7 linked regions of the Callithrix jacchus genome follow. The protein of the gene in region 5 purifies or fractionates together with the protein of the main gene of each other region. This does not show direct contact. Links are inferred from orthologs where the notes say so. Each region holds a gene or a part of one and is shown on either strand. Other genes may lie near its edges.

Region 1 (4,280 bases), on a different chromosome or scaffold from region 5:
CAACCTCACCTCCCGGGTTCAAGCGATCCTCCCACCTCAGCCTCCAGAGTAGCTGGGACTCCAGGTGAGCTCCACCCTGCCCCCCTAATTATTTTTTTTTGTAGAGAGGGCGTCGCACTGTACCCAGGCCAGTCTAAAGTTCCTGGACTTAAGCAATCCTCCTGCCTCAGCCTCCCAAAGTACTGGGATTACTGGCATGAGCCAGCGCGCCCGGCCTTAACAAGTAATTTTCTTTCTTTTTGAGACCGAGTGTCGGCTCTGTCGCCCTGGCTGGAGTGCAGTGGCACGATCTCGGCTCACTGCAGCCTTCGCTGTGCCAGTTCAAGGGCCTCGTTCTCTCAAAGTGGTGGGATTGAAGGCGTGGGTCACCGCGCCCAGACTCAGGTGATTTTTAAACAAGTCCGGCCGTAGCTGCAGGTATCCTGGTTCTGTAGGAACGACGAAGTATGGACGGATCCACACCTGGATCTATGGATGGGAAGGATCTCAGGGAGGCCCTGGACGGAGGGAAATGCTCTGGTTTGCTAAGCCTGGCACCGACTGAGACCCACCCACAAAGCGACCCATGGAAGTCCCTGGCGGCCTCCTCTGCTCTGCCGCGGGGGAGCCCTGCAGGTGGCTCCCGACCTGCTCCCGGGCCATCTGGTGACGCTGACTTCGCAGCCACCACCTTAACTGGCGCGTAATACCAACCAGGGAACCCGTGGGCGGCCAGAGGCCCGGCTCTACGGTCAGCCCGCCCAGGCACCTCTCCCTGCCATGTGAGGCCAGAAAGTTACTTCTCCGAGGCTGTTTCCCGTGACCAGAAATACCTCCCGCCTGAGGTTCTGTGGGGTAGGGGAGGTTCGTGCACTTCTCACAGAAAACGTCGCACAGACCCGCCACTGCCTTTATTAAGAGCTCTCAGGAGGCTGCCTGGAGCCGAGGGTGTCTCCGGCCCCATGCTCGCGGGCATCAGGGCGAAGCTGTGCCCCCGAAAGGGCCAACGGGAACTCCGCGGTCCCTGAACTTCCGGCGCTGGAGGGCTCCTCGCTCAGGGCTGCCGGGAGCCGCGGCGTGAGTGCGTGCCGGGGCCGCGCGCGGGATCTCTGAGGCCTCGAACCTCAGGGCTGTCGGAGTCTAGAGATGCAACCACGCTAGAGAAACGAAGGCCGCCCGATTTACACCACCCCCGCGCTCCCCTCACACCCGGCGCCAAAAACGCTAGTCCCACGGCGCAGGCTGGGACCCGCGCGCCCACGGCCCAATCAGCGCGGGCCTTCCACAAAGCGAGCCCCGCCCCCACGCCGCTGCTGCCAGCACCTCCCCCTCCCGTGGCCGTCTCGGCCCGCCCATTCCCAGCCCCGCGCCGTTCTTGGTTAGAAGCTCGCGATTGGCTCATAGGGACGGCCGCGAGCTCTGGTTGGCCGGCGCGGAGTCACGAGGGCGTCGTCGTCGTCTTTCCACAGGCGATTACTGGGCAGGCTCTGTCTTTCGCCTCAGTCTCGAGCTCTCGCTGTCCTTAGGGTGTACGTGCTCCGGGATCTTCAGTACCGCGGCCGCCATCGCCGTCGCTTGGCTCCCTCTGGGCTCATCTGCGTCACTTGCTCGCTCCACACTCCGCCGCCATAAGCTGTCGTCATGGTGAAGCTCGCGAAGGTAAGCGGCCTTGAGTGCGAGCACCGAGATCTAGGCCTGCTTTCCGAGGGGTGAGCGCGGCGCCGCGGGGAGGAGGGCCTGCGCGCAGTCCCGGCCGCGTTCGAGGGCGCCATGCTGCGGGAAGTCTCGCGCGATTAGTGGGGAGGTCTCGCGGTTTCTGGCTACTTGGTGGCGAGGTGAAGAGCTTCTGCAGGTGTTGGGGGCGGCGAACGCGGCGGGAAAGACAGAGTCACTGAGCGCGGGGAGGGGGCGCTAGGCCCCGGGGCAAGGAGATGAGACCAGACTCATCTCGCGTACGAGATGCGACGCGTACGAGCTAGAACCCGACTCCTGACGCACGTGCCCGGGAGCGCGGCCTGCCACGTGGGCCTCGCCGCGTGGGTCCGGGAATCTCCAGAGGGAGTGGTGCGTTAGGGTGGGAAATGGCGGTATCGGCCCGAGTCGGAGGACCGGCTGCGCTCGGGATGTCTGCCCCTGCCCGGCAAGCCGACACGTGGTGGGCCCCGGAAGGTGGCTCTGCCGCGGTGTTTCGGGCACGTGGTGGCCTACCAGGTACCCCCACGTGGCCGCGCCGCCTCTTTTAGGGGCGGGGTTGTCTCGCTGGGAAAGGAATAACGTTCATCAGAAAACCAAGGTATTTTTTTTAAGTGCCTTAATGATCTTCACTCATAATTTGGATTTGGATTTGGATAAGGGTTGTAGAATAAGGTTCCGGGATTTGAAGTACTAAAACACGGGTGTACTTAGAAAGCCTAAGGAAAAAAAAAAGTCAAACCTACGGTAAAAAGTCAACCTGAAGAAATGATTTCTTCACTTCTTCAGGTTGACTTTTTACCGTAGGTTTGATTTTCTGTTTGTAGAGCCTGACAGCAAACATGTGTGGGCGGTTGAGAGCAGGACCTCTTGCATTGCCATTAGGGCTAGTTTTTATGTTAGTTGTGCTGTTTGGCCCTATGAGAAATGGATCTGAGGAAGGAGATGATGGCGTTTTACACTGAACAGTAATGGCAAAACGTGAATGGCCTGAAATGTCGAAGTGAAGATGTGATGATGTACTTGTTACCATTTTAGGCAGGTAAAAATCAAGGTGACCCCAAGAAAATGGCTCCTCCTCCAAAGGAGGTAGAAGAAGATAGTGAAGATGAGGAAATGTCAGAAGAAGAAGAGGAAGAAGAAGAAGAAGATGATAGCAGCGGAGAAGAGGTAATTTCATCCAACTCAATGCGGAATTAAGTTAAAACTACAAAATGGGGAGTTAGGACATGAAATTGGATGTCTATGATAAAAATAAGATTTTATTCATCTGCGTATCTCCTGTTGTAGTGATCGAGTGTTTCACAAGCTCTTCGTTCATGTCAAGATGTCATTTGGCTAAATATTTGAATGTGAGTTTGAGACAGATCTGGGGATCTCCTTTCCATGTGCCTCTGCAGGGCTTGGAGTGTGATTTGTTGTGCTGAATCGTTACATTTGTCCAGTTTCAACATGTTATCCTCACCCCCACATTTTAGACACAAGGGAAAGATCTGTTCTCTCAATGGCAGAGCTGGGCGTTGTATTCAGATCTGAGGATAACCTTACCAGATTCCTTTCCTAGGCTCCATTTAAGATTAATTGGTCTCTATTCCATTACACTACTCACTGTGTTACTGTTGTCTCTGGTGTAGACTGAGGGCTGCCACCGCCCTTTGTGTTAACGTTTACCCTCTAGCACTCCTGGCTATTTATTTGTTCGCTATGAAGACAAGTGAGGACTGAATTGTGCTCAGACTTCTCTTTGAGAATTGAATAAAAGTTACTTTTCCATACATTGCCTGATAAAACTAGTAATCAAAAAGCAGATTTCAGTGGGACTTTATTAATGTAGCTAAATGGTGGATTCATCGTTTTGTAAGGGATATTCAGCCTATTTGATCTTCATTTCATCTCGTATCTTAAGAATTGAGCTTCACCAAGCTTGGTACCAGCACCTACTGTAGGAGCCTCAGATGATTTAATAACAGTTAATGCTTGGAGCCTCCTATGTGTACGGTTGTGAATAATTTACACATAGCAATTCCTGTTCCTTAGACATGTAAGGATGATACTATTACCATTTTCAGGTGAGAAAGTTGGGATTTGGGAAAGTATGAGGTATGAGAATTCAGAGGTATTTTAAGTGTTCAGAAGGGTTCCTTATTCCTAGATATTCACCTGATAATATGGAGTTTAACATGGTAACGTGTGTCTAGGGCTTGTGGTCTTGAACCATAGGCATTGACAGAATCTAACACTAGTTGGGACCATGGTTGTCTTCTTACTGGTTTGGTTTTCATTTATTCTCAAGGTTGTCATACCTCAAAAGAAAGGCAAGAAGGCTGCTGCAACCCCAGCAAAGAAAGTGGTAGTTTCCCCAACAAAAAAGGTTGCAGTTGCCCCACCGGCCAAGAAAGCAGCTGTCACTCCAGGCAAAAAGGCAGCAGCAACACCTGCCAAGAAGACAGTTACACTGGCCAAAGCAGTCGCCACACCTGGCAAGAAGGGAGCCACACCAGGCAAAGCATTGGTAGCAACTCCTGGTAAGAAGGGTGCTGCCATCCCAGCCAAGGGGGCAAAGAATGGCAAGAATGCCAAGAAGGAAGACAGTGATGAAGAGGAGGATG
Region 2 (4,147 bases), on a different chromosome or scaffold from region 5:
CATATTTCTGTACTTGTTACTTATAGATATTAAGTTCCAAGGGGAGGGGATGTATTTATTTAGCAGAAACAAGGACCAAAAAAGACATTAACCAGAACTGGAAACTCACAACTAGTTTTAAAACAGAAGTTGGGCATAGTGGCTCACGTCTGTAATACCAGCACTTTGAGAGAGTGAGGTGGGCGAATCACATGGTCAGGAGAGTTCGAGACCAGGCTGGCCAGCATAGTGAAACCCCATCTCTACTAAGAAAAATAGAAACAATTAGCGTGTGATGGTGTGTGCCTGTAATCCCAGCTTCTCAGGAGGCTGAGGCAGGAGAATCAGGTGACCCCAAGAGGCAGAGGTTGCAGTTAGCTGAGATCGCACCATTGCACTCCAGCCTTGGCGAAACTCTGTCTCGAAACAAAAAAAAAACCACTTAAGTGTTCGGAGCTCTGGTCTGTTCCACCACTGACTAAAACCAACAATCCACTCTCCTGCCATCTCATCCACAAAGTGATGGCCATTTGCTCTACTCTTCTCTGATAGCTTCCTGGGCCACCAGTCAGACCCAGGAAGTATTCTGAGAAGAGAAAAAAGCACAACTGCTAAATCACAATTACAGTGCTACCAAGCCCTCAAATGGATATTAATGGTGAACAGAAAAAGATTTCTTTTCTCTCCCCCGCCACTTTTTTTTTGAGAGGATGTCTCACTCTGTTGCCCAGGCTGGAGTGCTGTGGCACGGTCTCAGCTCACTGCAACCTCTGCTCCTGGGTTCAAGTGATAATCCTGGCTTAGCCTCCTAACTGGGTAGGAGGCGCCTTCTACCATGCCCAGGTAATTTTTTGTATTTTTAGTAGAGACAAGGTTTCACCATGTTGGCCAGGCTGGTCTCGAACTCCTGACCTCATGGATCCACTTGCCTTGGCCTCCCAAAGCACTGGGATTACAGATGAGAGCCACTGTGCCTGGCTACAAAAAAAAAATTTCTTATTTATTTATTTATTTTTGAGATGGAATTTCGCTGTTGTTACCCAGACTGGAGTGCAATGGCACGATTTCAGCTCACCGCAACCTCCGCCTCCTGGGTTCAAGCAATTCTCCTGCCTCGGCCTCCTGAGTAGCTGGGACTACAAGCGCACACCACCATGCCCAGCTAATTTTTGTATTTTTAGTAGAGATGGGGTTTCACCATGTTGACCAGGATGGTCTCGATCTCTTGACCTCGTGATCCACCCACCTCAGTCTCCCAAAGTGCTGGGATTATAGGCGTGAGCCACCGCGACCTGCCACAAAAAAAAGATTTCTAACCCAAGGGCTAAAAAAATCTACTGGAGAGCATCGTGGGGCGGAGTAAGTGTATTACAAGGCTGACAAGTCAACATCTTATTTGTAAATCAAGGAATGGCTAGGAAATCTTTAGAAAAGCAAGACATCCCAGCAAAGAGACGGACTAACTAGGCACAGGGTTTAAAAAAAGTTCAAGAGCTGAAATTAAAGCACATCAAATACCAGCAGTTCTAGAGCCAGACAGGACACAAGCTGCAAATATGGAAGTGACAAAATGATGGTCCTCCCAACACAGTCTGAGCAAAAACTTATTTATTCTCACACTGCCTCTCCACGGAAAACAAACTTGGAAACTAACCCCTTTTCCAATAAAGGAAGAAGTCCCCCCACTACCCATCTGTATTAAGGAGGGCTCAATGTTTACTCACCCTTTTTTCTGAGCTCTGGTTTGCCTTTCTTGACTGTGGCCATCACCATGTCACCGACACCAGCAGCGGGAAGTCTGTTCAGCCGTCCCTTGATCCCCTTCACAGAGATGATATACAGGTTTTTGGCTCCTACAAAAGGATGCAAACAAAAATCACAAAATGTTGAGGGCCGATCAGGCCGTTGCGTCAGTATAACATTTCCCAAACACTCACTGCCGAAGCAGTTAGTCCCCAAGAGCGCCTTGTCACACCACTGATTGAAGCAAAACAACACATCATGCTGTCACTTCACCCAAAAGCGGTGTTTCCATTCTCCCCTTTCTTGACGGCTCAGTAGGTCATTAGCCACAGGCCCACTGAGTGCTTTTAAAAAGGGGGAGTATAGCAGCGTGCAGTCAAAGACCTCACCTGTGTTGTCAGCACAGTTGATCACAGCTCCTACCGGAAGACCCAAGGAAATCCGGAATTTCGCACCAGAGGACCCACCACGTCCTGTGGATATACAGGGAAGGGAAACAGGATAAAGAGACCACTATCTAGACATGGGTCCGAGTTCCTCCTCATACACTCCGCACATGCTTTGATAGACTGTACTACAGATTAGCCCTCTCGAATTTTACTTATGCCGTCCCCGTGTGCCACCCTATTCTCACGGGAGGTAGCCATTTCTCACTATTACCACTCTGACATCGAAATTAAGGAACTGGAAGACTCAGCCCTTGCTCCAACTTTCGCAAAAACTCAATTACCTCTGCAAGGCAGAAGACCGCAGAGATCTCGAAAACCAGGGTCTAACCCAGTCTAACTTCAACCCCATTACGCCCTATTCGCGGAGCGAACTCGCTGGATCCAGGCTACAGTCGAGATCCTGCCATCTCAACTCTTAAGCACCCCAGTGCCACTTTCGGGGGTCCTGGCGGTCCTCTCGCGGTAGCCTAGCTCTCCATCTCGGGCCTGAAGGAGAGCACAGCGCCCCAGCTGCCTAGAGCTACCGCTCCCGATGAACCCGCCAGGCACTGCACGACAGATGGTGGAGGATCCTCCAAAAGTAAAACCTCACCTCGCTTCGACATCTTGGACGCCGGAAAGAGAAAAAGGAAGTAGCTTCAAAGGATACTGGGATATGAACTTTGATGCCCCACCCACTCTCGTCACGTGACCGGAGCTTAACCCCTCTTTGGGCGCTGCCTTATTACGTAATAGGTTAACTACGTCGGTTTGATTCATCTCTGGAAGTGGGCGTTGAAGTAGAAGTGCAAGAGATTGGAAGTCTCTTCTCTACGAGCTTAAAAGTAGTTGTAGACGTGGAAACAGTGATTTGTTGTTATCTTGCTTACGTCCTCTTTTGAGCACTTAATACGTGCCAGGCACTTATCTGCACACTAGAGAATAGGAATTAAAACACAGTTTGTGCCGTGTGTGGGGTCCCCAAGGAACACTCTAAACGGCTCTTGAGTAGTGCTATACAGATCATTCCATCTATGTGTGCTTGGTACCATACCATTCTGTATTTTACATATACTGTATTGCTCTATTGCCCTCCCTCCCGTGTTTTGTTTTTGTTTTTGTTTTTTTTTCTTTCTCTTTTTGAGACGGAACCTCCCTCTGTCGCCCAGGCTGGAGTACAGTGGCGCGATCTTAGCGTACTGCAACCTCCTGTTACCTGGAAGCCACCTCCCCACTTCCAGTCTTCCTGCCTTTGCTTCAACTTGTCCCGCCTTTCCAGACCGAAACAATGTACTTCTTACATATATTGATTAATGTCTCATGTCTTTTTTATACCTAAAAGGTATAAAACCAAGCTGTGGCCCGATGATCTTGGGCACATATCATCAGAACTTCCTGAGACTGTGTCACAGGAGCAACCTCGACCTTGGAAAAATAAACTTTCTAAATTAATTGAGACCTGTCTCCGATTTTCTGGATTCACACAATTAAAAATAGAATGAGGCCGGATGTGATCGCTCATGCCTGTAATCTTAGCACTCTGGGAGGCCAAGGTGGGCAGATCACCTGAGGTCAGGAGTTCGAGACCAACGTGGCCAAAATGGCGAAACCCCGTCTCCACAGAAATACAAACATTAGCTGGGCATGGTGGCAGGTGCCTGTAATCCCAGTTACTCGGGAGGGTGAGGCAGGAGAATCATTTGAACCAAGGAGGTGGAGGTTGCAGTGAGCCAAGATCGCACCATTGCACTCCAGCCTGGAATATACAGTGAGTCTCTGTTTAAATAAATAAATAAGGCCAGCGCGGTGGCTCACGCCTATAATCCCAGCACTTTGGGAGGCTGAGGCGGGTGGATCACGAGGTCAAGAGATCAAGACCATCCTGGTCAACAAGGTGAAACCCCATCTCTACTTAAAATACAAAAATTAGCTGGGCATAGTGGTACACGCCTGTAGTCCCAGCTACTCGGGAGGCTGAGGCAGGAGAATTGCTTGAA
Region 3 (3,134 bases), on a different chromosome or scaffold from region 5:
TCTTACCAAGATTGGGGAGACCAAGGACAAGGCAGGCTGGAGGGACACTCAGAGGCTGGGAGGTGGCTATGTTAAGTTAGAGGCGCCTATGCAGGGACACTGAGGACGTGAGTGTCACACATCTGCGGTACAGCAGGGCTCCCAAGCAGGTGGTCTTTAGCAAATGCCAGATGAGGTCCCTGGCTGGGGGAGCCCAAGACTTAGGGACCCCCTCATGTAGGTCAGGAACAGACTTGGGATGCCTCTGAAGCGCCTCTGAGGAGCTGCGGCTGGAGGGTCTTGGGCTCCCCAGTCCCTTCTGAGCATTGGGCTGGGTCCAGTGAGCACTGCCCAACCCCCGTAGACAGCGGATCGCCAGTACATGGAGGGCTTCAACGACGAGCTGGAAGCCTTCAAGGAGCGTGTGCGGGGCCGTGCCAAGCTGCGCATTGAGAAGGCCATGAAGGAATACGAGGAGGAGGAGCGCAAGAAGCGACTTGGCCCCGGCGGCCTGGACCCTGTTGAGGTCTACGAGTCCCTCCCGGAGGTGCGGTTCCCCAGGCCAGGCGGGCAGCAGGAGGGCCCTGAGCAAGACCCCCAGGGCCACAGGGACCCAGCCCCTGACCCCAGCTCCTCTGCACCCCCAGGAACTCCAGAAGTGCTTCGATGTGAAGGATGTGCAAATGCTGCAAGACGCCATCAGCAAAATGGACCCCACCGTGAGTAACCCTGGCCCTCCATGCCTTTCCAGCAGGCAATGTGTCTCCCCCAGCCCTGGGTCCCAAGTCTCTGAAGCCGGCTGGTGAAAGTACTCCTCCGAGGCTTCTCCAAGGAGTCAGGGGGGGTCACGTCACCTTGGCATACACCCATATTTATTGAGCACCTACTGTATCCCAACATCCAGCAGATGATTGCTGAGCTTTCAGTGCATGTCCCTCGTGACTGACAGTCACTGTTGCTGTGATGGCGTCCAGCCTCAGTTTCCTTATCCAGACCACGTTTTCTCTCAATATCAGCCCACAAAATGTTTGGGGAGGGGAGCCGAGCACATGGCAGTGACTGGTAAATGCTGGATGTTAATAGGGTTTTGACTGCTTGTTTTTGAGAGACAGGGTCTTCCTCTCTTACCCTGGCTGCAACTTTGACCTCCCAGGCTGAAGTGATCCTCCCACTTCAGCCTCCCCAAGTAGCTGGGATTATAGGCTGACACCATGACATCCGGCTAACTTTTTAAAAACATATGTTTTTATAGAGACAGGGTCTCACTGGCTATAATTTTGGAAGTGGTAATAGAGTTTGAATCTAAGTAGGACACACTTTAACTCTGTTCCTACCACTTGGCTCACTGGTTGGCCACACTGGTTTTCTCATCTGTAAAATGGGTCTAGTTGCAGGACTGGCCCTGAGGTTCTAGAAGCTTCTATGGGCATAGCCACCTAGACCAGGTCCTGCAAACTGCACCTCGAGGACTCACTGCCTATCTTTTATAATAAAGTTTTATTGGAACAAAGCAGCCACGCTCAATTGTTTCCCTATCACCTACAACCGATCTTGCTCTACCGCAGCAGAGTTGAGTCGTGACGGAGACCATATGGCTTGCGGAAACAGAAATACTTAGTCTGTCCCTTTACCAAAAAAATTTGCTGGCTTTTTTTCTAGATTGCACTATCTAAATTTAAATTAAAGTTAAATAAAATTTAAAGTACCAGCTGGGCAGCACTTCGGGAGGCTGAGGCAGACAGATCACCTGAGGTCAGGAGTTCAAGAGCAGCCTGGCCAATGTGGCAAAATCCTATCTCTACTAAAAGTACAAAAATTAGCCAGGCGTTGTGACAGGCGCCTGTAATCCCAGCTACTCTGGGGGCTGGGGCAGGAGAATTGCTTGAACCTGGGAGGCAGAGGTTGCAGTGAGCCGAGATCACACCACTACATTCCACTCTGGGAGACAGAGTGAGACGGTCTCTATATCAATAAATTAGTAAAATAAAATGAGCAGGAAGCCAGCTTGGGAATGTGCAGGGGACAACAGGGTGGCCACCAGGTGGCAGCCCTGCCTCACCTGCCTGCTCTTCTCCTTGCAGGACGCAAAGTACCACATGCAGCGTTGCATTGACTCCGGCCTCTGGGTCCCGAACTCTAAGGCCAGCGAGGCCAAGGAGGGGGAGGAGGCGGGTCCCAGGGACCCGCTGCTGGAAGCTGTTCCCAAGACAGGTGATGAGAAGGATGTCAGCGTGTGACCTGCCCCAGCTGCCACCACCATCTGCTTGCAGGCCCCTATGCGCCCCTTTTCAGCAAACAGATAGATGCCATCTCCCCTGCTCCTGGCCTCCTCCACTTGCGCTGCTCGGCCCAGCCTGGGGGGCCCACCCAACCGTCCCTGCCCTCTCCACTGTCCCCACTCTCCAGTGCCCATTCAAGTCTCTGCTTTGAGTCAAGGGGCCTCACTGCCTGCAGCCCCCCATCAGCATTATGCCAAAGGCCCGGGGGTCCGGGGAGGGGCAGAGGTCGCCAGGCTGGTCCATCAGGTAGTAGGGGAGGGTCCCCAGCCAAGGGGTCGGCTCTGGTCACTGGGCTCTGTTTTCACTGTTTGTCTGCTGTCTGTGTCTTTTATTTGGCAAACAGCAGTGATGTTCCAATAAAGGATTTCAGATGCTCTGGGCTGCTGTGAGGGCTGTTCAGGCAGCCCATCTCTTGTGGGTGGGAGTGAATCCTGGTGGAATATTGGAAGCTGGGTCTTGGTACTCTAGTCCTTTGCCCTCCAGCCGTTGTGGGTCCTTGCCTCACACATGCTGCTCCACCACTTTGAACAGTCTTCCTCCAGAGGCCCTAGAAGCCTACCACCCTCAGTTCTCACCCACCCACTCCCCTGTCCCTACTTTGACCTCCAGAATACAGGGTTGCCCAAGCTGATCACCGCCAGAGGGCAGCAGTGATCTGTAAACCAAGTCACGTTTTCTAGGGTTTTGCGAATTTTGCCTGCCCACGCCCACCTTTGCCCCTGCTGCCCCCTTAGAGCTTCCTACCATCATTTGGGGCAGCATCCTGGGCTATATCTCTCCGCCCTATGGCCAGTGCTGCCCTCCAACATTTTTGTTGTTGAGACAGTCTAGCTGTTGCCCAGGTTGGAGTGCAGTGGTGTGATCTCTGATCACTAC
Region 4 (4,075 bases), on a different chromosome or scaffold from region 5:
CCCAAACTTCAGTATTTCCTGTGACCCAAAATTGTCCTTTTCCTGAACACAACTTAACTCTTCCTCCCGTACCATTAAATAATCCATATAAATTGATTCCAATGCCCCAGGACAGAATTAAATGAGGCTACAAAGAAGTTTAGGCACTCGTTTAACACAGCAAGCAAAACAAAATAAACCTACTGCAGTACAGGGAGATAAGAGCGAAGGACAGCTGGAAAACCAGCACTTGCATACAAGCACCCAAAAAAGAAATCCTGCCAATACTCTTAGCTTCTTCCACCAGTCCCACCCCCTCCCCACACTTGATCAATTCCATTTGGTGACTAGAACTAAGGGAAAAACTTTTTGTCACCACAAACAAAAAAATATTGCCCTAAATAAAGGAATGGACAAAGACAGAGGCCGATTCCTGGTGTCTGTCTCCCCTCCCCTTTCTACTGAGTCCTTACCTTATGCCCAAGTCACAGGAAGAGCTCCTCACCTTGGAGATCTATTTTCCTACCGCTTTAGATGCTGAAAGGGACACCTAACATTAATAACTGCAATATTGTGGCCGTATCAAAGAATCCTACGTTCAAAACCCAATAAAGGTTCTGGTCAGAAATCCTCACGCCAAAATATAACTACAATAACCTGTAATTTATTTGGAAACTACAATCATAAGCTTTCCAATCGGTTTAAAAAAAAAAAACTCACATTCTTTCTAGTTACCACAGCCAGTTTAATTAAATAGCCCCAATCCCCACAAAACAGAAAGCATTCAAGTATCATTTGTTTCCTACGGAGAACACTAATAGATGAAGAGGGGAACATCTGGAGATGAGGGCGGAGGGGAGTCTTCCAATATAAGCACACCTATTTGTTTGATTTTTCAACACTGAAATAAAGAGAGCTGACCTTGAGCTGTACTTCCCCATTTTATCCCTTCCCTCCCCCAACAGCAACTTTGTTCAATACAAATAACAAAGAATTTACAAGACGAAATTTAGTTCAGCATATTTCGTATATTTGAGCTCTAGAGGACTTGTCTTATTTTCAAATCCCTGAATCCTCATTTCTGATAATGGGAACCAGCCCTGAGGTTATTCACATGACCAAATCGGCATTTCCAGGAAAGCAATGGCCCTCTGAAACATTTTGAAATATAGGTAGCTTAACCAGGAAAAATCTCACATCAAGGACACTAGATTCCAACCATGTCTCACCCCACCGTACCATGCAAAAGCATGAAAACCACAGCAGCCGCATACAGGACTTCTGGTTTCGGTAATACCACAGTATCGAAAAATTCTAAATGTGAGGGAAATTCAAGTCTACAGGTCAAAAAAGGTGGATGGGGGGGAGGATGAAGAAGAAACTTCCTGGCAGACACAATGGATATTTCGATCAAGTTCTGAAAGAGGACTGAAGAACCAATTAAGGGCAAAGGGACAATGAGCAAAGAGGAACTACTCAAAGTCCTACATAAACCCACTTATTTAAAATAAAAAATAATAATAAAAAAAAAGAATAGGACCTCCAACCTTCATAACTCAAAGACCCCAGGCCCAGCCGAGTGCCTGGAAGAGGCAAAGGTCCCCCACGAAGTACAAACCCGCATTTCGAGCCTGCAGAGTCAACCAAAATACAGTTACTAAACGCTACTGGAAACAACTTTATTTCAACAGGTCTTTTTTTTCCCATGTGTCATGAGGGTGCGGACAAACTGTAAAGTCATCGTTTTCCCAAACGCGAGGACGAAGGCTCGAACCCAGAGTCGCGCAGCCCCCTGGTCTCCTGGTTCCATCCATCAGAACCCGCTGCTGACGGAGCCAGAGAAAGGTTACAGGAACTTCGAGCTTCACCATTTAGAGCGCGGAAAAGGGGCGGGAGCCCGGATCTTCTGGACCTCCCCGGAAGGCGGCGAGGGGGGAAAAGCCCGAAACCCCTCACTCCGCGGCGCCGGCGGACGCAAAACAAACCCGACCGCGGCCCCGCAGCCCGCCACCGCCCAGGACCCAGAGCAGCGATGCTCGCTCGCCCGCTCCCCGCTGTCACCCAGGGCGGCCTCCCGACCCAGGCCCGAGGAAGCGCATCGCGTTCCAGGCTCTCCTTTGTGAGACTCCACGGCCGCCGCCCCACACGAAGCCTCCGGGGAGAAGCCACCGCCCCCACCCGCCATATTTCCCTGAAAGGCGCCCGCGCTACAGCTCCCGGTCTTGGCGCTCTCCCGTGTGGAGGGTGCTGCTTCCCCCGTCACCCTACCCAATCGTTCTCCACCTCCCAAGGCCGTCCCGGAAGCTTCCCTGGGGGTGGCCGGTTCCGCGGCAGCGCCCGCCATCTCCTCCCCCTCCCCCGCCCCGGGATTCGCCCTCCCCCCAGCCGCCATTTTACAACCAACTCCTCCACCCCGGCCTCTCGGCCCGCGAGGTATGTGTAGCTGAGGACAGCGAAGGGGTCACATTCCGGGGCACACGGCCTCCCGTCGCTCCGGGAGTTCCCAAGCCAGGTTCCGCTCCCCGAACCCAAGTCCCCGGGCCACGCTCGCGGACGATGCCGCCATTTTGTCTCCCGTTCCCGGCCTCTGTGGGCGGCGGCAGAGGGTCCAAGAATTCCAGCCCCCCGTTGCCCCCACAACTCACCGTCGTATCGCTCAGCCTGCTCGGCCAGCTTCGCCTGGTACACCAGATCCTCCCGATCATCCATAGCGGCAGCGGCTCCGGCAGGGTCTGCGCGACGGATGGAAACGGATAGTGTCTACGACTCTCTCAGCCTTTCGCTCCGCGTCCGGGCAGCAAAAATGGCGGCGCCTCAATCCGGGACTTCCGCCTGCGCACGCGGACAACTGCTCAGCTCTATGGCAACCGCTCCCTGGCAACTGGCGCGGGGGGCGGGTCCTGGAACCTGCGCCGGAGACGCCCCTCCTCCGTCCGCTCAGCGGGCGCCGGGGCCTAGAGGCGGGAACTGCGACTGCCGCGAGGGAGCGGCCCCCGGGGAACACGACGGCGGTGGCCAGGCCGGCCCGGGCTGCTCCTGAAAACCGCGGGCGCGAGACCTGGGCCAGACTGACGGCCGACGTCCGGCCTGCGGAAAACCACCACGGAGGCTGGGACGGTTTCTGTCATCATAGCAGGTCTTCCTGCCTGAAATCAGCGCTGTTTCTACCGCGCCCTGGTTTTCTTTTTCCTTTTTCTTTTTCTATTTTTTTGAGATGGAATTTCACCCTATCGTCCAGGCTGGAGTGCGATGGCGCGATCTCGGCTCCCTGCAACCTCCGCCTCCCGGGTTCAAGAGATTCTCCCGCCTCAGCCTCGCGAGCAGCTGGGATTACAGGCATGCGGCTCCACGCCCGACTGATTTTTGTACTTTTCGTAGCGAAGGGGGTTTCTTCATCTTGGCCAGTCTGGTCTCGAACTCCTGACCTCAGGTGATCCGCCCGCCTCGGCCTCCCAAAATGCTGGGATAACAGGCGTGAGCCACCGAGCCCAGCCAGCGTCCTGGTTTTCTCCGCCAAGCCTGGTCGTGGGCCTTTTGCAGACACTTTTACCCTCAGGGTAAAGAGCTGGGCCCTGGCCCCGGCGCGGTGACTCACTCCTGCCATCCTAGCAGTTTGGGAGGCCGAGGCCAGCGGATCACTGAAGTTGGGAGTTCAAGACCATTCTGGCCAACTTGGCGAAACCCCGTCTCTACTAAACAATGTACATATGAGGCGGGCGCGGTGGGGGGCGCCTGTAATCCCAGCTACTCCGGAGATTGACGCAACAGAATCATTTCAAACCGGGAGGGGGAGGGTGCGTTGAGCCAAGACGGCGCCATTGCACTCCAGCCTGGTCAACAAGAGCAAAACTCCATCTGAAAAAAAAAACAACACTGGGCCCTATTACAGTTGGCAGGGACAGGGGAGCTGCAGTTTTCACGCCTCCACTTTGCCCTCACACTCATCTTTATCTTCTCCTGTTTAACCTTTTTTCCCCAGAGGCTGCCATGAATGGGAGCAGGGAAATTGTTAGAAGAGGATGGTGTGGAGTACATAGTATAGAATAGTCGAACTGAGATCAATTTAAGATTGAGGAGGCAGGAATAACTCAGGGAA
Region 5 (3,500 bases):
TGGAGTGCAATGGCACGATCTTGGCTCACCACAACCTCCGCCTCCTGGGTTCAGGCAATTCTCCTGCCTCAGCCTCCTGAGTAGCTGGGATTACAGGCACGCACCACCATGCCCAGCTAATTTTTTGTATTTTTAGTAGAGGCGGGGTTTCACCATGTTGACCAGGCTGGTCTGGATCTCTTGACCTCGTGATCCACTAGCCTCGGCCTCCCAAAGTGCTGGGATTACAGGCGTGAGCCACCGCGCCTGGCTCTGTTTTCTATTATAATATATATTGCTTAAAGATCTGAACAGAGAAGAAAGCACTCCAATTAGGATGCCGCCTAAATTATAAGCATGTCGCTGTACTTTGAGAACACTAAGTTGCGTGCAAGTTTGTGATGACTAGGCTTTCCTGCCTTTACTGAAGGAGCAGAATGAAGCCACAGATAATGGATTTGGATAACCAAATCCATTTTGTGGTGAGAAATTCCTTACTTTCAATGTCTTGAAGAGATGAAGTATGTTACCAAAGGAGATTGGGTTTTTAAAGATTACAGATAAGTGACTTAGATTGTTTGGGAGTAAGGTTTTAGATATAAGTTTTTATGTTTTTAAACACATACTGACAACTTCTGACAAGCCTTTGGAAAGTTTTAGAACTCTGTTGAAAGTTCGTGCAAGCTGCTGATGGAATCTGTGAGCCTTTCTTGTTGCTTATCATCTATTTTTTGGCAGAACACATTTCTTACTTCCCACCAACAGGTTTTGCCCTTTTTTATTCCATTAAGATTCCTCCTGAGATTGGCTGTCTTGAAAATCTGACATCTCTGGATGTCAGTTACAACTTGGAACTAAGATCCTTTCCCAATGAAATGGGGAAATTAAGCAAAATATGGGACCTTCCTTTGGATGAACTACGTCTTAACTTTGATTTTAAACACATAGGATGTAAAGCCAAAGACATCATAAGGTTTGATTATTTAATTTCTATTTGTTTTTATCAAATTTATTTCAGATTTCCACTCTGTGACTTCGATGGACATATATTGTTATGCTTTAGGGAAAAAAATCAATAGTAATATTGGACATTAATGTGCTATGTGTCATTTGCCTTTCATTTAGTGAATGTGTTTCTATGGTGCCACTGTAGAGATTTTTCATTCTTCTTAGCCAGGTAACATTGAGAGTGACTTTTTTGCCTTCTCTTTCTTTTTAGTGGAGTAGACTCTGAAAGAAAATATGTATTGTTATTCGGTCTCTTGTTACCAATTACACAATCTAAAGAAATATGGCACGGTATAATAACTTATCACACTGTATTTCATATAGCAACTAGTAAACATATGCCTCTTACATCTTAAAGCATTATAGTTACTGACATCATGTGAAATCACTAACTTCTATTTTGCTCATTAGGATGAGTAATCTACTCACCTTGATCAGCTCTGAAACTACCAAAACTTCTCAAGTATCGCTGTTTCTGGTCTTTACACTTGAAACACTTTAAATATCTTTAATAATGGATTTTATCCCACTTTTTGTTCCCTTTCAGCACATTGTTCTTATTATTTTCTCATAAAATCCTTTGCTCCCTTTCCCACAGTTACTGTATTAACATTGCAGACCTCAGCTCTGTCGTCACCTCCCAGCTAGACTGTAATGTGCACCAAGGCAGAGACCATGGCTGTGTTCACTCACTATTCAAATCTTGGCACCAAACACAGTGCCTGGCATAGAATTAATAGTTGTTTAATTACCTGTGTTTTATGCTTACTCATTCTCTTCCGCCTAAAGTCTCTTAAATTTATATTTAACTTTATATCTTTTTATGAGGAAGGATTTGGTTTTCTGAATTCTTGAGCTTCATTTCATTGTAAAGGAAAGAGTTTAACTTTTGTGCTAAAAGTGACTACCCTTCATTTTACACAATTATTTTTCCCTCTTGAAAGTGGAAAAGTTGGCCATATAAAAATTGGTTCAATTCTTACTAAACGTTTAGCAGAACTAGCTTTCAGTGTATTATGCTGTATTTTAAAGCTACATAACTAAATATGTTAAATATTTTAAACATGTTTAAGGTTTTCAGGAAAGACAGAAAGACCCTAGAGCGGATTAGAAATTGTAGGCATCATTTGCTTTTTGAAGAATGACATATTTCAAATAGTGCTGCCATCTTAAGAAATAAAAAATGAAGAAAAGTAATGTTGCTTTTCAGTTATATCATCAGAAATGTTGGTCAGAGATCGGTCACTACTCCGATGTAAAATTCATTTTTTATTTAGGTTTTCTCTAATTTTAAATGGCGGCAACACTTTAACATATTTCAAAATATGTCTTTCTATTTTTATTATATTTTTGATAACACTTTAAATCTACTGTTAGTTTAAAGGTCATTTTTTAGCTACCTAAACACTTCTATTTAGTTCAGTTTTTATGTTAAGATCATTAGGAATGAAACCATGTTAACATCTTCTGATAGTATAATAGTTTATATGTATTTATGTATGATGTAATATGATCTCACTATCTGTATATACTATTATATGCATTTGTGAAATATATCTATCTATACATCCTATATTCTACATATGACCATATAGACACATGTAGAACTAATATGACCTTATCAAGGTTTATTATTACAGTATACATATTTTTATCTTGTTTTTATGTCATATGGACTTTGTGAAATTTTATACTTTATAAGGTTTTTAATACTATTAAAAGAAATTCAAATATGTATACACATATGTATGTATATGTGTGTATATATAGATGTATACATATTGCGTATTGTATGCTGATTAGTATTGGAAACACATTTTGGCCTTTTGATTATTTCTGGTGGTAGTGTAACATGTTATATTGGTAATTCTACCAAACACTATCAACTACACTAAAATCTCTAGCAAAATATATGCATTAACAATACACTGAAAGGCGTATTGTTATTAGTTATATATATATATAACTAATGAGTTATATAACTCATTATTAGTTATATGAGCTATGCGCTCTTTTAGAAACTATATCTTAGAATAGTGTTACATGCAAAACAACTCACTTAAATCTCATGTACTTTTAAGCGGTTTATTATTTTATTTTTATCTTTCAAATACTAGGTTTCTTCAACAGCGGTTAAAAAAGGCTGTACCCTATAACCGAATGAAACTAATGATTGTGGGAAATACTGGGAGTGGTAAAACCACCTTATTGCAACAGTTAATGAAAATCAAGAAATCAGATCTTGGAATGCAGAGTGCCACAGTTGGCATAGATGTGAAAGACTGGCCTATCCAAATAAGAGGCAAAAGAAAGAGAGACCTCGTTCTAAATGTGTGGGATTTTGCAGGTATTTCTATAGAATTTTAAAATTCACTTTTACCACTTGTTATAAACAGGGTTTAAAAAAACTGAGCTTTCTGTTCTAATATCCAGAGAACTGGTAGACTGTATGGAATTATTCCAAAGCCCTTCACTTCTCCTCATTTTACTCCAGCCTCCAGAATGGAGAAGAA
Region 6 (4,131 bases), on a different chromosome or scaffold from region 5:
GCCTTGTGCTCTGGCTTCCCTGTGAAGCCACCAAAGGAACCAGGTGAGGCAGGATTAATACACACACACCTCCAGCTCTCCCATCACCCTTTCGGAGTTCCACGGAAAGAAAGGGCGGCCACAACCCACATCTTATGCTTGCTGACGTTTCTCTCTCTGGCACATTTCTATTGGACCACATGCCAATGGTGGCTGTGTGTTTTCCCAAGGCGTCTGAATCACTGGGATCTAAGACCTGGGGTTTCTCTCTCAGGGTTCTCATGCCCAGGATAGTCAGTCTCAAGGCAAGGCACTGACCAGATACCGACCATTCACTGTCCCCCACTCTCACCCCAACGCACACACAGACACAGGGGAGGTCAGGGAGGAGGCTTATGTCTTCACCGAAAGCCTACAGGCACCTAGCTGCTGGAGCAACCAGAGCCTCTGGAAAGCCACTATATATGGCCATCCTTTCAGCAGCAAGGTGGGAGAAATCAGCAACGTCAAAAGAATTTCATTAGGCATAAGCAGTCTCCCCCAGAGGTCAGAGGGAGAAAACACAGCAAGTAGAGGTGTCCCTGGGGAGTGGCAGCAAAGTCACCGAGTTCTGGTAGGTCAGAGTTGACAGGATCCTTTGAGAATGTGAAATTTCCTTCCCTCTGGGTCCCAAAAAGGAAACTGGAACCCAAAGAGAAGAGGAACTGGCGTAAGGCCACGCAGTGGGTCAGTGGAGGAGTATGGCTTAGAGGTCAAACTTCTTACTCATCATGGCCAGTGCTGGATAGCAGCTGCTTCAGATGGTTTGCAGCCCAGCTAGGACCTAAATCAACCTCATCTTAAATATGCGTAAGGAAAGAGGACTTGGACCCGAATACGTAAGACAGCAGACGGAGAAGAGCAGAAGCAAAACCCCCGCAGCCTCAGAAACCCTAGTTCCCTTCCATTCCAGGCGTCTCGGGGGAAAGGCATCTGGGGCTCTAAGACTGTGGGAGAATGGGCGATGACTGGCAAAGTCCAATTCTTTTGCCACCGTGACAGGTGGCAAAGCGGTCCGCGAGAGGGGAACCCGGGGAGAGACAGTCCCACAACCGGATTTCCGAAGCGGTGTGAGAAGGGCGGGCCGGAATATGTGACCGCCTCAGAAGGACTCTTTGAAATACACTAAGGAGGTGACACCCGGCCGCTACGGCCCACTCTCCTCCGCCTGTACGGAGCCCCCCGCCAGCGAGGCGGACACGCTGGGGGAGCCGGCCCAGGGCCAACGTCGGCCAATCCCCTCAGTGACAGCAGAGGCGGCCAATCAACCCCGGAGCATAGCCCTCTCCCCGCCCCTGTTGGGGCCCACAGCCAATCGGACTCCAGCCTGTTTCGGGAACGGCTACCCCACCGCTCCCTCGCGAGCGCTGCGCTGTCCTTTGGCCCTTTCCCTGCTCACCTCCCAGGGACGGCAGAAAAGGGCTGGCCTGAGCACTGCCTTCGCAGCGCCGCTGGCGGCCGTCGCTACCTTCAGCGCCATGACGGAAAGTGAGAAACCCCGGACGTCCCGACACGCAGACGCCGTTCTCGCGAGAATTCGACGGTGTGCAAAGTCTGAGGGCAGGCGCGGGCCCCGTACTGCGCACGCGCGCGACCGCACTGATTCTCACGCCACCTTGCGGCGCCTAGAGCGCCGCTGCCGCCATGTTGTTGGGGTTGGGCTCGTGACCAGATGGGCCCCTGGCTCGGGGAGGGGCCACGTCAGTGCTGCCAGCGACGTCACAATGCCGGCCCGGCCCTTCGATGCATGATTGGCTGCCGCTGCCACTTACGCTCGCGCTTCCGTGTCTGCCCCTCGGGTTCATGGGAGCTCTTTCTCTTTTCCTCTAGTCAGAGAAGAGGTGATGGCGGCGACGGCATTTTTCGGCGCCCTGGCGCTGCTTCTGCTGTCCGGCCTCTCCCACTGCTCAGGTAGCAGCCCGGCAGGGTCTTGTTTGTGGCGAGCCTCTGACCCACGGCAGGTGGTGTTGAGGGGAGGAGGGATACGGGGTCTGACCTTTCGGTATCCGTCGCTGCGGGCCGGGCCTTCCTCCGAGAGGCAGGCTGCCTCGGGCCCTGGGGACCAAAGCACCTCACGCACGTTTACGGGCATCCAAGCTTTTCCTTGTCTGCTCAGACGAAGAGGAGTCCCGGAGCCTCCGCAGTGCGCCCGGCCCCCAGCTTCGGCACATGTCTCCGCTCCCGCTCCCTCTCCCTGCGGGTTCGGACAGGAGCAAAGCCTGTAGTGCTGAGCGGATCGCGGCCAAAAACGGGGCTGGAGGACCCACATAAGCCAGGAAGAGAGCTCAGTGAGGAGAGGGAGGAAGAGTGGGGCGAGTTAGATGGGGAGCCGAAGGGGTGCGCAGGGTCTTGAGTGCCAGGCCGAAGACCTGTGCTTCTGGAACCAGAGCCTGTTCCGTTTTCTTCCTCAGGAAACGCTGGGGCTAGTCTTGACCTTCTGTCAAATGGCCAGCGGCAGAGACCCTTTCCCTCATCTACCTGCCTGCAGCCTCTACCCGTGATGTACTCATCCAGGCTATTTGTGGCTCTGAATTGAAGCTGGCCTAGCCCCCAGGCCTCTGTGTCATAGGTCCAAGTGTTAGCATGCATTGTCCAGTGAATCCAGCCCCCACCTGCCCCCAGCACACCTTCAGAAAGCCGCCTTCATAGTAATCCCACCTCTCTTGCCACTGCATTTCTTACTGAGCACTTGGTTCTCTCTCTCATCTCACCTGGAAGGGGCAGGAGAATCCCGTGGGTCCCAAGCTGAGCCAAGCTGTGAGGCAGGGCCGGCCCAGCCTTCTACCCTCAGCCTGGCACACTTGAGGTGGCCTTCCCCAGGTATCTCTCCCTCTTCGCCGCAGCCGAGGCCTGCATGGAGCCCCAGATCACCCCTTCCTACTACACCACTTCAGACGCCGTCATTTCCACCGAGACTGTCTTCATCGTGGAGATCTCCCTGACGTGCAAGAACAGGGTCCAGGTGAGACAGTGGGGGTTCAGCCAGGAGGACAGGTTGGGGTGTTCCTCACCGGCAGTTGACACGGGGACCCGTGTCGACAGAGGAGGAATAAGGATTCCAACTCTTGGGGTGCTGTAGAGATCAGGAGACAGCGATGCAAGGTCACCCTCCGCACCTGCTTTGTCTGTGGTGCCTACACGACGTAACACTGGGCTCACACCCCGCTGTTTCCTGAAAGTGTCTGCACCCGGAAAAAGGGCCGGGGTCTACCCGCCCCGGTTGCCATTGGCCAGTTTCTCTGTGTGGGTGTTTTGTTTGGTTTTTATTTTTTCTTTGTTTTTTTCTGAGACAGAGTCTCACTCTGTTGCCCAGGCTGGAGTGCAGTGGCGCCATCTTGGCTCACTGCAGCCTCTGCCTTCCGGATTCAAGCGATTCTCCCCTCAGCTCCCAAGTAGCTTGGGTTATAGGCGCTCATCACCAAGCCCAGCTAATTTTTGTATTTTTTGGTAGAGATGGGTTTTCGAGGGTTGTAACTTCAAGATTGAGGAGCCTTGGCCTTGGCCTCTGACCTGTGTTCCCATAAGTCCAAAGAAGAAATTGGACCTTTTTTGGGTACAGACCTCTTAGAGTTAAACACCCCTTGGCCAGCCCACTAGGCACCCCTGACCCCAGGACCTCCCTTGCAGACTCAGGGAAATCGCTTGGACATTTTTATCATCCTACCCCTGCTCACAGTCAACAGGGTTCCTAATGGTTCCACTTAGGCCAGCCCATGGGGGGCCCTGTGCCCCATAGGGGAAGGCTGATGCAGAGGGCCAGTCACGGGATTGGTGAGTGTTCCCTGGTACCTCCTGCCAGGGACCTGCAGGCCATGTGAGCAGTCCACAGGGCTCCTCTGCCCACACACCCGGAGAGGGCAGAAGGTGACTCTGCCTTTGTCCCCTCACCCAGAACATGGCTCTCTATGCTGACGTCAGTGGAAAACAATTTCCTGTCACCCGGGGCCAGGACGTGGGACGTTATCAGGTGAGGGGCCAAGGGTGCCCTTGCTGGTGTTGTTCCCTGCTCCTGGGTGTAACATGAAGCCCCGGGGGTGGCTGGTCAAGTAGGGCCAGGGGCCATGGGTTCGGGCTGCTGGAGAGCTGCCGTGTCGGCACTGGGAGGCAGGGCTC
Region 7 (3,500 bases), on a different chromosome or scaffold from region 5:
AATTTCTGTATTTTTAACAGAGATGGCATTTCACCATGTTGGCCAGGCTGGTCTCAAACTCCCAACCTCAGGTGATCCACCTGCCTTGGCCTCCCAAAGTGTTGAGACTACAGGTGTGAGCCACCACCAGCCAAAATATTAATAATTCTAAACAAGTTTAAGATGTTCCCAATTTCACCTCCAGTCCACTTAAAAAAAAAAAAAAAAGATGGGCTCTGTCACCCAAGCTATAATGCAGTGGCATGATCATAACCTTCAACTCCTGAGTTCAAGCCACTCTCCTGCCTTGGCCTCCCCAATAGCTAGAATTCCTGGCCTCAAGTGATCCTCCCACCTCAGCCTCCCAAGTTGCTGGGAATATAGCATACACAGAGGGTCTGTTATGTTTTGATATTAGCTGTGAATATATTTAACACAAACATTTGCTATTAACCATCAGTCTTTCTTGTGCTTCAGTGTTAAGTTCATCATAAACTTGGTATTATTTAGTTCACAATGGTAGACCTGAATTTTTTTTTTTTTTTTTTTTTTTAATTGTGTTGATGCTCTTTACCATTTGGTATGTTTTTGGAGTGGACCTGAATTTATACTTAAATATTGAGTTCTAATTTAAGTTTCCTACAGAGATGCTTTTGGGTATTTACAATTAAAAGCAATTCAATTTATCTTAAACTTAGGATTGAAAATTGGTGAAAGCTTTAAGGCACTTACTTTAAATTGTTTTACAAAAACTGAGGGCAAACTTTTGTCCAGGGATGTTTTCCCCCAGCCATTTGGTGTTTAGGTTCACACAAAACATCTAACTGAAACACATTTTCAATGTTCCATACTCAAGAGACAAAAAGCTAAAAATCTGATCCCATGTATTCAAGCTCTTATGATTCAAACAATGGTTAACAATCTATTACAAGATACATTATACACAGTATAACTGTCTTGCTATATTTTCCTAGCATATCTCCAGGAAATATGTTGCAACAGTAATGGTAAACACATTATAAACAACCAAAACCAACAACCCAAATATGTAAAGATGTCAATTTGAATGGTTTATAAAATTCTTTACCGAGTAAAAACAGCATGGTCCTTCTGATCTAACACAATGATTATATCTCCTGGCTCCAGTCCTGGTTCTTGGTCTCCTTCACCATGGAATGTTATCTTCTGGCCATCTTTCATGCCTTAAAACATTAATTTTATACTCTTAAGGTCAGAATAATAAAATCTATACATAGATGTTTATGCATAAAAATCACAGAAATGACTAAGAAAGCCCACTTTCTTAGTAGTTCAGTCCAATCTGTGCCTGAAGAAAGGTATCATAGTGGGAAATACAAACTCTAGAAGCAAGGACCAGCCTTCAAATCTCAGGGCTGCTATTCACTGGCTGGATTACTCTGGGAAAGTAAGCTGCATATCCTACCCAAGTTTCAACTTTCCCACACCAACACATTATGATTGTCAAGTGTATCAACTAAACAGTTATAAGCTGGTACTAAACCAGTGACTGGCAAACATTGGTTATAACCAAAAAATGTTAATTAACTATTTCAATTTCATTACTTATAAGAACATATCAAACTACTTAAGTCTAACAGCAATGTAAATCAAGACCCTTCTCACTGTTGTAGTATTTATATATATGAAACTAGAAAAATTTAAAATCTATAATCTTAATTCTTGAGATAGGCTATTGCTCTGTTGTGCACGCTGGAGTGCAGTGGCACAAACATGGCTCACTGCAGCCTTGATCTCCTGGGCTCAAGTGATCCTCCCACTTCAGCATCCTGAGTAGATAGGACCACAAACCAGCTAATTTTTGAATTTTTTTTAAAATAGAGATAGAGATTCTCATTATGTTGCTCAGGCTGGTGTTGAACTCCTGGACTCAAGGGATCCTCCTGCCTTGGCCACCTATAGGGTTAGGATTATAGGTGTGAGTCATGGTGCCTGCCAAAAATTCGTATTTTTGTGTAAGAACTATTCAGTTTGGCCGAGCACGGTGGCTCAGACCTGTAATCCCAGCACTTTGGGAGGCAGAGGCGGGCGGGCAACACGGTGAAACCCCATCTCTACTAAAATAAAAAAAAAATTAGATGGGCGTGGCAGCATGTGCCTGTAGTCTCACCTACTTGGGAGGCCAAGGCAGGAGAATTGCAAGAACCCAGGAGGCGGAGGTTGCAGTGAGCTGAGATTGTGCCACTGCACTCCAGCCTGGGCAACAGAGCAAGACTGCATCTCAAAACAAACAATAAAACAAACAAAAAAAACCTATTCAATTTGTTCCCCTTAAAATTACACTTTGGGGAGGCCGAGTCAGGAGGCTAGCCTGAGAATAGCACCCTGGACCACAGGAGTTCGAGACCTTGTCTCCTTTAAATTAACAAAAAAAAAAAAAAAAAAAAAGAAAAAGAAAAAGAAAAAAAAAATCAATCAAAACTAGACACTCCCTTAGCTCATATGGTCCATAAAATACAAGGAGAGTATTTATTTTCTAACAGGGCAAGAAATTTTTAAACAGGCTTTTTTTTTAAAAAACTAAGATTTCCCCAGCCCTCACCTCTGACCCACATATTTTAGTTCAGTAAGGGTTTGGACAACATTTCTTAAAACATAACTGGTGTAAGAAAACCTGTGTTTGTACAGTATTACACCGAAGCAGTTATCTCCTGATTATTTCCTGAGATCACTCTGGTTATCTAACAGAGCAATCTTGTTTCACCTTTTAGTATGGAAAATATTAATCCTGTATAAACAGAGCCAACAGTACAATGAATTTCTACATATCCATTCAATCTGGCTTCAGCAGTTATTAACTCATGATTAATATTTCATGTATTATACCCCTGCCCATGCCCCCCACAAATACTTTCAAGTAAACCCCAACCATAACCATTAACCCAAATACTTCACTGTTTACCTCTTATATAAAGACTTAAAGCAATATCAGTATCATACACTAACAAAATTAAACAATCTGTCTTTAATCGCCTATCCATGCAAAATAACTTGTTATGCTAGTGAAGCAATTAAACTCAGCTAGGTTTTCCTGAATAAAAACAAGGATAGGCATAGCACAAATGTCTTCACTTGCTACATAGTTAGGGTATTAATTTAAAGTCCTTGCTTAGTGTCCATCATTGATAGGTTCTTGGAAATTGCTTTAAATGAAATGACACATAACAAGACCATTTTTCCCCCTCCCCTGTGTTATAGTGACATGACATTGAGATCAATTTGCCAGAAGTCCCAGTTTCCAAGAACCTATCAACAACATTAAGTGAAGACTTACTCTATATGCTATTGGTATCAAGAACACCTCAAAATATAAACCCTAGGCATGGGCCCATTAAGGGGAAAACAGATTTATTAAGTTCAAAAACTGGCCAAGGAAACTTACTTTTACATTTCAATGCACTACATTCTTAGGTGGAAAACCTTGGGGGATCAGAGAGGCCAGTATCATGAGTCATGTGATAGAATCCTATTGCAGCCACTTA

Evidence for each region.
Region 1: the proteins of LRRK2 (region 5) and NCL purify together in Homo sapiens (co-immunoprecipitation; 3 studies listed by BioGRID and IntAct, with this or other methods). This does not show direct contact. The link is inferred for Callithrix jacchus from reciprocal best matches to the Homo sapiens genes LRRK2 and NCL.
Region 2: the proteins of LRRK2 (region 5) and RPL23 purify together in Homo sapiens (affinity purification with mass spectrometry; 3 studies listed by BioGRID and IntAct, with this or other methods). This does not show direct contact. The link is inferred for Callithrix jacchus from reciprocal best matches to the Homo sapiens genes LRRK2 and RPL23.
Region 3: the proteins of LRRK2 (region 5) and CDC37 purify together in Homo sapiens (co-immunoprecipitation; 8 studies listed by BioGRID and IntAct, with this or other methods). This does not show direct contact. The link is inferred for Callithrix jacchus from reciprocal best matches to the Homo sapiens genes LRRK2 and CDC37.
Region 4: the proteins of LRRK2 (region 5) and YWHAE purify together in Homo sapiens (co-immunoprecipitation; 6 studies listed by BioGRID and IntAct, with this or other methods). This does not show direct contact. The link is inferred for Callithrix jacchus from reciprocal best matches to the Homo sapiens genes LRRK2 and YWHAE.
Region 6: the proteins of LRRK2 (region 5) and SSR4 purify together in Homo sapiens (co-immunoprecipitation; 3 studies listed by IntAct, with this or other methods). This does not show direct contact. The link is inferred for Callithrix jacchus from reciprocal best matches to the Homo sapiens genes LRRK2 and SSR4.
Region 7: the proteins of LRRK2 (region 5) and DNAJA1 purify together in Homo sapiens (co-immunoprecipitation; 4 studies listed by BioGRID and IntAct, with this or other methods). This does not show direct contact. The link is inferred for Callithrix jacchus from reciprocal best matches to the Homo sapiens genes LRRK2 and DNAJA1.

Annotation. Positions count from the first base shown.
Region 1 is NC_133507.1:152,901,907-152,906,186, reverse strand, and holds the start of NCL (nucleolin), read left to right. Parts: upstream 1-1,480; 5' UTR 1,481-1,620; coding exon 1,621-1,638; intron 1,639-2,050; exon of another isoform or gene 2,051-2,272; intron 2,273-2,709; coding exon 2,710-2,841; intron 2,842-3,964; coding exon 3,965-4,280. UniProt on the Homo sapiens protein: Nucleolin is the major nucleolar protein of growing eukaryotic cells. It is found associated with intranucleolar chromatin and pre-ribosomal particles. It induces chromatin decondensation by binding to histone H1.
Region 2 is NC_133506.1:119,373,749-119,377,895, forward strand, and holds the start of RPL23 (large ribosomal subunit protein uL14), read right to left. Parts: upstream 2,801-4,147; 5' UTR 2,777-2,800; coding exon 2,764-2,776; intron 2,196-2,763; coding exon 2,112-2,195; intron 2,080-2,111; exon of another isoform or gene 1,944-2,079; intron 1,833-1,943; coding exon 1,704-1,832; intron 1-1,703.
Region 3 is NC_133523.1:9,582,222-9,585,355, reverse strand, and holds the end of CDC37 (hsp90 co-chaperone Cdc37), read left to right. Parts: intron 1-343; coding exon 344-526; intron 527-626; coding exon 627-698; intron 699-2,060; coding exon 2,061-2,216; 3' UTR 2,217-2,634; downstream 2,635-3,134. UniProt on the Homo sapiens protein: Co-chaperone that binds to numerous kinases and promotes their interaction with the Hsp90 complex, resulting in stabilization and promotion of their activity. Inhibits HSP90AA1 ATPase activity.
Region 4 is NC_133506.1:66,853,282-66,857,356, reverse strand, and holds the start of YWHAE (14-3-3 protein epsilon), read right to left. Parts: upstream 2,801-4,075; 5' UTR 2,689-2,800; coding exon 2,625-2,688; intron 1-2,624. UniProt on the Homo sapiens protein: Adapter protein implicated in the regulation of a large spectrum of both general and specialized signaling pathways. Binds to a large number of partners, usually by recognition of a phosphoserine or phosphothreonine motif.
Region 5 is NC_133510.1:35,407,594-35,411,093, reverse strand, and holds part of LRRK2 (leucine-rich repeat serine/threonine-protein kinase 2), read left to right. Parts: intron 1-770; coding exon 771-952; intron 953-3,104; coding exon 3,105-3,334; intron 3,335-3,500. UniProt on the Homo sapiens protein: Serine/threonine-protein kinase which phosphorylates a broad range of proteins involved in multiple processes such as neuronal plasticity, innate immunity, autophagy, and vesicle trafficking.
Region 6 is NC_133524.1:149,711,522-149,715,652, forward strand, and holds the start of SSR4 (translocon-associated protein subunit delta), read left to right. Parts: upstream 1-1,331; 5' UTR 1,332-1,417; coding exon of another isoform or gene 1,418-1,496; coding exon 1,497-1,563; intron 1,564-1,848; coding exon 1,849-1,929; intron 1,930-2,861; coding exon 2,862-2,980; intron 2,981-3,910; coding exon 3,911-3,985; intron 3,986-4,131. Other genes in the region: IDH3G (isocitrate dehydrogenase [NAD] subunit gamma, mitochondrial), read right to left, coding at 1,418-1,498. UniProt on the Homo sapiens protein: TRAP proteins are part of a complex whose function is to bind calcium to the ER membrane and thereby regulate the retention of ER resident proteins.
Region 7 is NC_133502.1:140,224,980-140,228,479, reverse strand, and holds part of DNAJA1 (dnaJ homolog subfamily A member 1), read right to left. Parts: intron 1,182-3,500; coding exon 1,067-1,181; intron 1-1,066.